2 linked regions of the Saccharomyces cerevisiae S288C genome follow. The gene in region 2 interacts genetically with the main gene of each other region. Each region holds a gene or a part of one and is shown on either strand. Other genes may lie near its edges.

Region 1 (4,711 bases), on a different chromosome or scaffold from region 2:
AAATATAGAATATACATAAAATAGACAAGAACCCAACAGTTGAGGCGCCAGCTTTGGTAATAGCTTAATAATAAATAAAAAAAGATAATATAGCTAGCTAGTATTATTGCTTTTATCCGTATGGCCACCACCACGCAACCACAAAATATACTGATGGATGAACCTTTAAATCTTCCTAATAACAGTGCCCACAACAATAACTATGGAAACATAAATGCGAATATAAGAACTTTTGCTGGTATGAGCATGCACATGCACCCTGCCAGGCTGAACTCTCTGGAGTTTTTGCACAAGCCCAGGAGACTATCTAATGTAAAACTGCACAGATTACCTCAGGACGAGCTTCAAAGAAATACGGACATGAATAAGGGAATGTATTTTAATGGGAAACAAGTTCATGCCCATCACCCGTTTATAAATTCTGGAGCGAACTTTAACGCACATCATCAAGACGTCAGTAAATTAGGCGAGGAGGAAGACGAAATCTCTCCTCTATCACATGATAATTTCCAGTATGAATCCGAGGAAAATGGTAATCCTTCACCTCCCATTTACAAGAAATCTGGAGAACTGGTTAAGAGTTCATTAAAAAGAAGATCCAAGTCCCTACCCATTACTCCCAAATCTATATTCAACAAAACTGGCTCTAAGAGTAAACATGTCAATTTAGATCATGTAGATACTAGGCTATTGCAAAGAAGTAAAAGTGTCCATTTCGATCGTGTTTTACCAATAAAGCTGTTCAATGAAAATGAGAAACCCATAGATGTTGGCAAACAAATGGTTCAACAAGATGTTCTGAATTTCAAGCATAAGCCTTTGACGAGACTAAGTGCCCTTAATGGCGGTAGTGATAGCGTACCTATAGAAGATTTACTATCTGAAAACAACCAAAACGAATATGGAGATACATGGCTACAAAACCCGAAGGGTGTATTCCTATTTGGTACAAATTCTAATAATCGTAGAAATAAAAAAAAGAAGTTTAAACTAAGTGACGATGACAGTGATATTGAAAATGACAATGATAGTGACGACGCTATAAACCGTTTAGTAAGGCAACAAGACAAAGACCAAGCTCATCTTGCGCACGGGTTGAAGAATTTGTTAATAAACGATGACGACGATTATTTAGAAACAAGAACAAATTCTGCTAAATCAGGAGCCAACTTGTTTATTGGAAACTCTAAAAGAATTGTTGGTCTTTACAACAAGAACTTTCCAATATTAAGTGACAGGAACCGTAAGAGTTTAAAACTTAACATATTTCTGAATCTTTCCCGTGGAAGGCCCGTTTTTTTGCAAGAAATTACGCTACTAACTGGCTTCCACAACATGGTTATAATTGGCAAAGTCTTTGTGAAAAACATATACTTTGATAAGAAGATTATCGTAAGATATACATGGGATGCATGGAGAACTTTTCATGAATCAGAATGCGTGTATTTTTCTAATGCCAATGGCATCTTACCAGGAAGCAATATGGATATTTTTAAGTTCTCCATTGATGATATACACAATCCAAATGATAAAGATAGCAATATATCACAATTGGAGTTTTGTATTCAATACTTAACTTGGGGCGTTGATCGTTCTAGGAAGGAATATTGGGACAATAATGATTCGGCAAACTATAAAATTGACGTGGTAACGAATGAAACGAGGACAGGGCCCACAACAGACGTCAATGATAACTACGAGATGAAACATAGTCTTTTCAGAAACCCATTCCATTAAAGAAAAAAACAAAAACTAATAGTATTGTTTTACATATACAAAAGAAAAAAAAAAGATAAGAATACGTACTTTCTATTTTTATTTGAAGGTCATTTTCTTTATATAAAATAATATACTGGAATGATGTTCTTTTTGTTGCTTTCTATATTTGCTTTCTTTTTTTACTTTTTATTCAACTCCAGACGTTCTTAAATAACTCGTTATCATCCAATGAAATGTTAGAACTGGAATTTGAATTCATACTATTATTATTTGTAGCGGTAATTCCAGTGTTCACGAATGGTGACGGAGTATTACAAGGCTGAGGTGTCGTGGAAGTGAAAAATGAGTTCTGGCTTTGAGTCTGGGCAGAAGGTTTTGAGTATAAAGATAAAATGGATTTTTTCAAATCGTTCCTTTGCCCAAATTCACCGACTCTGTTGCCAGTCTTGGTATTAGCAGCACCTATGCTTGTTGCAGAACTAGTTACACTTGTATTAGATGTAGTCTTAGAAAGCGATGAAACCTGTAGGTTTAATAAGCTCGTATTACTCCTTGAGGTGCTTAATAAGTGGGAAGGTGGTTGTGTTTGCGTCTTTTGTAATGAATTTGAGCTCTGGTCCAATCTTGCATTCGAAGCAGGCAACGAATGATTCGCAGACGGCTTATGCAGAACTGGTTCAGTAGAATCATTTAACCCTTCAATACTGGAGAGGTCACCAATCCACTTCTTATATTCATATTTATTCTTGATGAAATTTTGTAAACTGCTCGTATCAGTGATTTTCCTCTGTTTCAATTCATCAGCCAAAGTAGCTTCGTAGTATGAGTTAGCTCTTAAATTGTTTTTGAACTGTATCAGTTTCACCAAATGTTCTTCCTTCCATGTATCCAGATCAACAGATTTCACTTTCGAAATGTGCGTTCCCAATGATCTATGTATACCAGCACATTTAATGCAAATGAAAACACCAAGTGACCAGGAAGCCCAGCGTGGATGTAGTTGCGCCTTACAGTCGGCACAATGACTGTTTCCTGGATCGCGTAAAAGAGCACTTAATGCCTTCTTGACTGGGACTGACGTCGACATCGCTTGTAAATTGCCCCACGTTCTATGCTCCTTTGTACAGTTGAAGCAAGTATTACCTTTACTTTTGTTACTATTAGTACCGATCTTATACGTATTATCGAGTCGAAAATCGTCCAGCACGAAATATGGAAACGGTGCGTTTAGGTGACTAAACTAAATAGCGTATATATTATATATGTTCCAATCTATATATATATATATGGCACTCTGTTACAGTTCCTTATCTTAAAACACAAACACCTGGTCTTCCATCTTGGAAAGCGGTTTGGAACGTCTGAACCCCAAGTCCACGGTACTTCTTCTAACTGAGGCAACCATGGCTGGAGGACCACAGATCAAAATTTGAACGTTGTCCATTGTAGCAGCGGGCAAGTGTTCCTTGATGACATCCTTGGTAATGTATCCTACACCACCAGTCCAGTCTTCACGGTCAGGAGAGTCTAAGTAGTAAACTATCTTAAATTGGGAAGGCTTCATGGCCACCAACGCTTCCAGTTCCTTCTTCAACAGAATATCCTCCTCATGGACGTTCCCAAAGACTAGAGAGACCTTGGTAGTGTCGTGAGGGTCCATGGCAATAGCTTTCATGATCTGATACATGGGCGCAATACCAGTACCACCAGCAATCATCCCTAGATGGGAACGGCAGTTTCTCTCATAATGATAGTTCCCACGAGGGCCCTTGATCTGGATCGAGTCACCTATCTTCAACTCTCCAATCATCTTAGAAACGTTACCTGTGGGGTAAGACTTCACTAGTAATTCAAAGTTTCCCTTTGTATCTCCATCCAACGATGTGGGCGTATACGATCTGGTAATATCCTTACCATTGATATTGGCCTTAATTACGATATGCTGACCAATTGGTAAACCGAGTACGTCGTCAGCATGAGGTAGCCCGAACTTGTACATCGAAGTATTATGCGTTAAGATGGTTTTTTCAACCAGCGGAAATGATTGGAAGTCATTCCTTTTGGGATCCAGCACAGGCTTGGTCTTCGGTCCGATAATGAACTTGAAGAGCAAAGGCACGACCACGATCACGATGACCACCACAAGCTTTTGAGCATCAATAGCCATCTTCGATTGCTTAATTGATTGAGTCTCTTGTTGAAGAGCCAGTTGAATGCATACTTTCAACACTTTTTTTTCTCGTTCATTTTTTCGCCTTATATAATAAGAATATTTATACATATGTAGATAATTTAAAGAAGTAGAAAGAGCCCTTAATGGTACCGCTTTACGAGGAAATTTAGCACTGTTACTTTTTGGAGAGTAGTGCAGTCTTAGAAGGGCCTTTGAGCTTGATGTACACGTCCGTGCCCCAGCCAAGTAAACTTTGAACGTCAATCTTGCCCCCAAACAGTTCTAGGTACGTCTTGCACATTGGTAGACCAAAGCCCATGCCGGAGACGTTGTTGATTTGCTCGCCGGGCAGATCTGTAGACTCAGAGTCAGCTGATTGTTGGGTATGTGTAGAGTAAGAGTAGTTGAACATGAGGGCCTCTACCTCGGGCGTGATCCCACCACCATGGTCCCGTATCCGTAAGTACAGCTCGTCATCGTCTGGCTTTAAAAGATTGATCTCTATGGGCATATGTTCCTTTCCAAGAGCTATCTGAGCTTCAAAAGCGTTCTTGAATACCTCTGTCATAATATACTCCAGAATGGGCGGAATGCACGTGAATGTGATGTCTTGTGATGGCGGGTGAATTAGGACCGGGGTCCGCTGAGTGTTGAACTTCACAAAGCATATATCATTGACATAATCAGAAACGTGCTTGATCAATTGTGCTATGGGGAGGTCCCGGTGCAAGATTCCAATCATCCTTTTGTTCGTGTCACCTTTGTTCTGTGCCATCAACGACAAATAGTGCGTCACAAGCAGCTTCATCGTGATTCTCT
Region 2 (6,836 bases):
TTTCCATTTTTCGATGAGTCTAATCTATATTTTTCTTGATTTTTTGGCGAGAGAATATGTGCAAATGGCTTCTGCTCTTCGCGGTCATTCCAATTAAGATTTTTACTGATACTTTCAAAAAATTCACTGGCAGATGACTCGATAGTCGGTACCGAATAGGGGCTTGCAGTTATCACAACATAGTCACCCTGTTTCAATTCAACTCTATCTTTTCCGTCAAAATTCACCCACGACGTCCCTCTTGAGTTCATATCTACTCTAACTTTTAATTCCATGCTATCTGGTAAAATTATAGGCCTAAAGCTCAAAGTATGAGGACATATAGGCGTCACCGCTATGGCATTTACGCTTGGCGATATTAAAGAGCCTCCTGCACTCAATGAGTATGCCGTGGATCCCGTAGGCGTGGCAACAATCAATCCATCTCCCTGAACCTTAGTCATTAGTGAGTCGTTTCCATAGAGTTCTAATAGGGATAAACAAGGAGCTGGACCTCTATCTATGGTTACTTCGTTCAATACGTGATGTTCGGAGATGAAATCGATGTAACATATTTTTCTCCCAGTTGCGGCATCAATTTCTGGTTTATTTCTACGGTAGAGTTTGCATTGCAACCTCATTCGTAAATTAATACGAACCTCATCTGTTAAGATATGTTTCAACGTTTCTTTGAAATTTTGAAATTCAAAATTTGTTAGAAATCCTAATGATCCAAGGGCAAATGGAACAATCGGCGGAACATCTTTCGTGAATATAGATGAAGCAAAAAGGACAGTTCCATCACCCCCTAGTGTAATCATCAAGTCAAAGAATGAATCGTGTTTTTTAACAAATTCTTTTGACCAATACTTTACTCTGTTTTTACTGCAATTGCTGTCTTTGCAGAGGTCACCAACAGCAAACTGAGTTGACTTTTTAAAAATATCTTGTACATATACAGTTATTGAATGGAAATTGCGTAAGATCCATTCCACCACTTCTCTCATGAGAAATACAGTGGAAATATCATTAATATTGCAGATTATTATCAGGTTTTCAACCTGCAAGTCAACCTTAGCATTTATAAGATCCTTTCTCAAACGCCTTACATCGTATGCAGTATCAACATAAAATGGGTATAAATTACTCGTGTCCTCACCGACAATTGTTTCGCTCGATAATCTTCTGACCCAGTTTTTTGCATCATGATAACCGCACCTCATTAAGCCCGGTTCTTCGAAGTTGCTTAATACCTTGCCTTCCGCTAAAACTTTAACTGATGTCATTCTGTCAATAGTATCCATAGTATCCATCTCAGCATCTCCCTTGGTACATGTCTCCGGGGAAGCGTTAATCAGTAATCTATCAGTTTTCATATTCTCTTTTAGTAAAAAATGTCACGTAAGCAGATTTATTGAGATTGCACTATTTCCATTTCCCTTTCACAACGCTATAGAAGTGAGATGAATACACTAACCTGATTGTAGGTTTATTTATATATATAATATCAATAGCTAGCAGTTTATTAAACGACCTGAAATGCAGTTTCTTCGATCACCAGATAAGTCCGATTATCCTTTTGTTTTCGATTTTCTTGAGGACCGGTGTGATATCCACAATCACCCTAAAACTAAAACAAAGCCATATAGTCTTAAAACAACGGAACAATCCATAACAAAAGTATATTAAATTATCTCATATGTTCAAGATTATGAGGTCCTAACAGATAACTCTTCCAGTTCATACTCAAACACCTGAAGGCGTGGCGGGCTTTTACCAAAAATGGATAAACCTCGGAAGGCCTTTTCAATCCCCTGTCTTGGCGGCGGTGTTATAATAAACTATTGTGGGGATAATAGTGATTTTCATAACGTAAAAATCGTTTACATATTGTTCAAGGGTTATAGAATAGGACATATAACAGAATACATATCACCGCAATCTCCTCTTCCTTAATATACATGGGACGAAAAGCGGTGTCCATGTTCTTATTCAAGCTGATTGAATTTTACATTTCCAGTTATCAGCTTTCAACAATGGTAATGACGCACCTAAACACCAACCGATTTCTTTATTGGCAATTTTCTTTCCAGTTCTCAATTCTCTTTGTAATGGAATGTCATATCCCGTATGTAATAAGGACACTTGAAAAGATAAGTCCAAACAGAAGTGCGAGTCACTTTCCAATTCATCTAGGGACCCCGCAATGCCACTGAAGACACTATTCCAAGTTTCTTCGCCTTTACACACTATTCTTGCCAAATCGTTCAATTCATTCAAAGTAAAGGACAAGGGCATACCCAATGGACGGGTTCTGTCGTAGAAATAAGAGAAAATATAGATATCGTTCGATTCTTTGAATGTACGAACTAAAGAAGGTTGGTGAACCCCATTGAAAGAGCATGGTGGAGACTGGCACTGAGCATCTTTATTCAAAATTTCATCAGTCAGAAATCTACATTGTGCACCACTTGGCTCGTCCGGCCCTATAAAGTCAATGGTATAAGTTTCCTTGGATTCTAATGTAACCTTTTCATTTGTGGCATTAACTTTAGGCGGTAGGCATGGAGATGACAATTGATGAGTCTTAGTGTTATCACCCTTCAATATTTTGCCGTCTTTTAATGCATTTTCCACAAGAACAGAGTTAACTTTATTTCTTCCTTCCTTCAAACCGTAACCTAGATGAGAAAATTGGTACAAGGTGTAATTTTCATCACCAAACTTCAAATCAAATTTATGCTCACCATCGACCATTTTTTCATTTATTGGGAAAGTAGGCTCAAAAACAATTTGTGTAGACCCTCCGCCTAAGTCAAAAACGGCAGCAGTAGGTAACTTGGGGCCATTAGCACCGATATTACCTAATAGGTAGTTTGTAGTAATCCAGGCGAAGACACCTTCTTCATCACCGCCCATGATGGAAACACCATCACCTTCGACAACTGGGAAAGGATAGTCCTTCTCCAAATGATCCCTTACAGCGCTCAAAATTTTTGAAGATTTGGCATCACCCAAGAGTCTTAGGCCTGCAGTAGCTTTCACCGCAACGGGAGTACAACTTCTTGCCTTAATAGGGACATAGTTCATTGCTACTTTCAGTAATGGGTCAAGGGAGTTAGCGGCACCAACGGAATCGGTATCGAAAGAAGATAAACCAGGCTCTAACATGTCGAATTTTTCATCAAGTAATGTAGGTGGGGAAGTACAGACGTCAAACTTGTATATATGTACTCGGGAACCGGTAGAGCCGGCATCGATCATGATAACATACTTATGTTCTTCGCTGCATGTTTGACTTGTTTGTGACTTCACAGCATCGGCAAGCTCAGGATAGTTTTGTTCAGTCTTCGAATCTTGAAGGTAACCTGGTTCATCATTGACGGGCAAGATAGAGATGTCCTCCGGAGTTTTGGGAATACTAGCATTAGGAGTAACTGTACGTGCAATAGAAGGTGGACCGATGGAAGATGTTTTAATCAACAAAATGAGCATAATAACGGCAAAAGCACCGATAGCGAACCGGTAATTTCTAAAGATGGGCGCCATGTTTTTTGTGCGATGATGTCTTAATGTTTCTTCTCGAGAGGACCCTTAACTGTTCGCCAATAAAGATTGTTGATTGCAGTCCTTGCCCTTTTTATTAGTGCTTTCTCCTTAAAACCAAAATTAAATAAGCTTGTAAAAGAAACTGTTTTTATATTTGGAAAATCGAAGCACTATGCAAGGAATATTATTAATGTTGACAGTTATTTTTCATGTGTTATGTTTTTCATATTGAAGTTGTAAAAAGATGGGAAAAATGAAATTGAGACGAGACGCCAAAATAAAAAGAAAAAAAAAAAGAAAAAATGAGATTAATACCGTTACCCTATTGATGATTAAGAATAAGCTCAAACTGCTTTCATATATTATGTTTCATAATTTATATATCTACATATATACACGACCTGGAAGTATTATAATATTGTTCATGAGTCGTGACTGTGCGGGTTAAATAGATTATTCATACCGCTCTTGGACAACAGTTTTGACATTCTTCTACCGCTTGGACTAGTTGATGGAGTTGATGAATCTTGAATATCCGTGTCCGCATTAGCAGGTGATGATGCAGACTTGTGCTTAAACTTGGACCATGCAGAAGAAATGCTGCTGTTACTTTGGTTCCTCTTGTGAGAAGGCTTAGGGCTTGGTTCTTTAGCGGGAACCTTTGGACCCACAGGCACATCGAGGTGATACTGCTCCTCCAATGGAGGAGAAAGTTGATTTGTATTTGAATTCCATATGGAGTTGAAAGGTGGTGAAGAGGCATGGAAAGATCTTCGTGTAATGTTATCCGCCGTTGGTTGATGGTTCATTGTTAATATGTTCGAGTGTGAAGGTGTTAAAGTAGTGTTATTGCCTGGAACAATGGGCACATCGTTTGAGAGTCGTGGGCTCAAGTTTGGCACCAATAAATTGAAGTCACTTGATATCCTTGGACTAATGTTCTCGGTTTCATTGCCATTGATATTGTTCTGTAAGGAGTTTGCAGGTTGCGGAGCACTGTAGAAAGAACCACTGCGTACAAAACTTTGTAATGAAGGATCATTCAATGTAGCGGCGAGTAGACTCTGTGGATGCATAGGATTCGTATTGGTTGCGTTGGAGGTTTGTCGCAAATGAGAACTAGAATATGGAGATATTACTGGGTTAGCCTTATATGATGACATAGGTGTTCCAGTCGTAGAGAAAAGACTTTCATTTGTGCTGCGCACCTGGGGTTGCTGCTTAGTCCAGTAATTGTCAAGTTCGTCTGTAGTAAAACCCTTGGAATAATTGCTTATGTTATCAGGATAGTCTGTTTCGTCGTAGATCATATTTTGCAAACCACTGATTAAGTGGTTTGCATTATCGTATTCAAAAGCTTGATCCAATTCTGTAGATACTTGTTGATGCGAAGGTTGAGCGAATTGTGCGGTGGTCCATAAATTTGACCTTGAGTGACCATTAGTTGCTGTTGCTGTTGCTGTTGCATTAGCAGTAGCAGTTGTAGGTAAAGCATGTGAATATGAAGAAGGCTGTTGCTTGTTTTCGTTGTTCGATGAGATGTGATTGGAGAGCATTGATCGATTATCGGTGTCCTGTGTCAATTGACTCAATAGACTGCTTGAAGGTTGTATGGGTTCATTCGAAGGAGAGTACGAAACTGGATTGTGCAACCTCAACGGAGGAGCAGAATCAGCATTACTGTTGTTAATACTTTTGTTATTATTCGATATTAAATCAATGGACCCCGTTCTTGACATGTTGTTGGATAATGGTAATTGAATCGATCCAGAACTTCTGTTTTTTTCCGCGGAATTATTCGAATTGGTGGCAGCAAGCGAATCACCGTTATTCTTATATGGTTGAACCATTAATTTTGTTTTCAAATTCCGATTATTAAGGCTCATTTCATTAAATTGGTTTTCTAAAGCACTAATTTTCTTCAACAAATTTGACCTCTGCAATTTCCAGTTGGCCTCCAATTCTTGATCAATGCTTAGCTCTTGCTTAATCATTTTAATCAATGATGAGTCTGCATTCAATTTGGATAGAAACTCTTCACCAGCATTACTTAAAAATCCATTTTTTTCTAAAGTAAAATCATTGAGCTTCTTCAAAACAGCCGACAATTCTCCGCTAGCAATAGGTTTATCGTTTTCCACATTGGCATTCACCACTATGGAAGTAATCAATGATTTTTTGGAGGCGTTCAATCTCTTGTTAGACTCCTCCATCTTGGAAATTTCATTTTGTAAAGACTCAATTTCTTTGTTGATATTGGCCACAGAGGCATTGGATTCATTTAGCAATTTGAAATATTTCTCCTTTATGGTATCCTTAGACAACAGCTCGGTATCTTCCTGAGACCATTTCTGCATATCATTGCGCATTTTCGATATTTTTTCCTTGGATTTGTCGATTTTCTTGTTCAATTTTTCGATTTTCAAATCGGTCAATAGTTTAGAATTCTCCAATGACTTGATATTGGATTTCAAGGATTTCCGCAAGTCAATTTCGTGCGACCAATGTGTTTTCAAGTTATCCAGTTCTAGTTCTAATTCTAACTTCGATTCTTGAAAATCTTGCAAAAGCGAAGTTTGTTGGGACAACACATCGTGTAAGTCCTCCTGGGCGCAAATCAGTATCTTTTTCAGATCATCGATGGAAAACGAATCCAAATCCTTCAACGTAGTCAAAGATGTGTAAGCGGGTAGATTTGAACCATTATTGCTGGTGGCGCTATTAGTAATATTGGATGAGAAAGTAGACAGGGAAACAGAGGAGTAGTGAGAGGGCAACGGGGCGGGTTCGGACTTGGAGTTTCTGGGCTGCATAGCTGTGGACGATGTGATGGTGTTTCTTCTCCATTTTCTAGTCTTTAACGCTTCATTCGCCTCTCTCGCCTTCGTCATACAGTAAATGGAGGGTAGCTTATTGATAAAGCCCTTGTTGTTAATCGTTATAAAATCTAACTGGTACTGCGTCTCCGCCTCGAGACCCGTGATGGAGCAGCATGTGTAAAGGGAGTTTGGGTTGTTTGGGAAGATAGCCAATTGTGTGTTATTCAGATACAACAAATAGTGGGAAATGAAGTTTCTATCCGCACTGCCATTGTCCTCCGCTTTTACAGGTTCGTTCTCCCAATGAATGGTCACTGAATCCGTGGCTATTTTGTCGATAGACACTTTTGTTGCCGGTGGAGTTTTGATCTTCAAAGTGGAGACGATGCTGGACACAGGAATAGTGAGAAACTTATAGAGCCTATAAGAGAGCCACAGACATGCTAAAACCGTGGTTATTACAGAGACTGGCATCCATGCATGTGTTGG

The links.
Region 1: mutations in GDA1 (region 2) and AGE2 together harm fitness more than expected from each alone (negative genetic interaction), as found in Saccharomyces cerevisiae (3 studies listed by BioGRID).

The regions. Positions count from the first base shown.
Region 1 is NC_001141.2:271,041-275,751, forward strand, and holds AGE2 (GTPase-activating protein AGE2), read right to left. Parts: upstream 2,807-4,711; coding exon 1,910-2,806; downstream 1-1,909. Other genes in the region: putative protein phosphatase regulator PIG2, read left to right, coding at 121-1,737; CBR1 (cytochrome-b5 reductase), read right to left, coding at 3,032-3,886; protein kinase PKP1, read right to left, coding at 4,068-4,711. UniProt on the Saccharomyces cerevisiae protein: GTPase-activating protein for the ADP ribosylation factor family.
Region 2 is NC_001137.3:70,463-77,298, reverse strand, and holds GDA1 (guanosine diphosphatase), read right to left. Parts: upstream 3,529-6,836; coding exon 1,972-3,528; downstream 1-1,971. Other genes in the region: YEF1 (NADH/NAD(+) kinase), read right to left, coding at 1-1,355; GTA1 (Gta1p), read right to left, coding at 3,951-6,821. UniProt on the Saccharomyces cerevisiae protein: After transfer of sugars to endogenous macromolecular acceptors, the enzyme converts nucleoside diphosphates to nucleoside monophosphates which in turn exit the Golgi lumen in a coupled antiporter reaction, allowing entry of additional nucleotide sugar from the cytosol.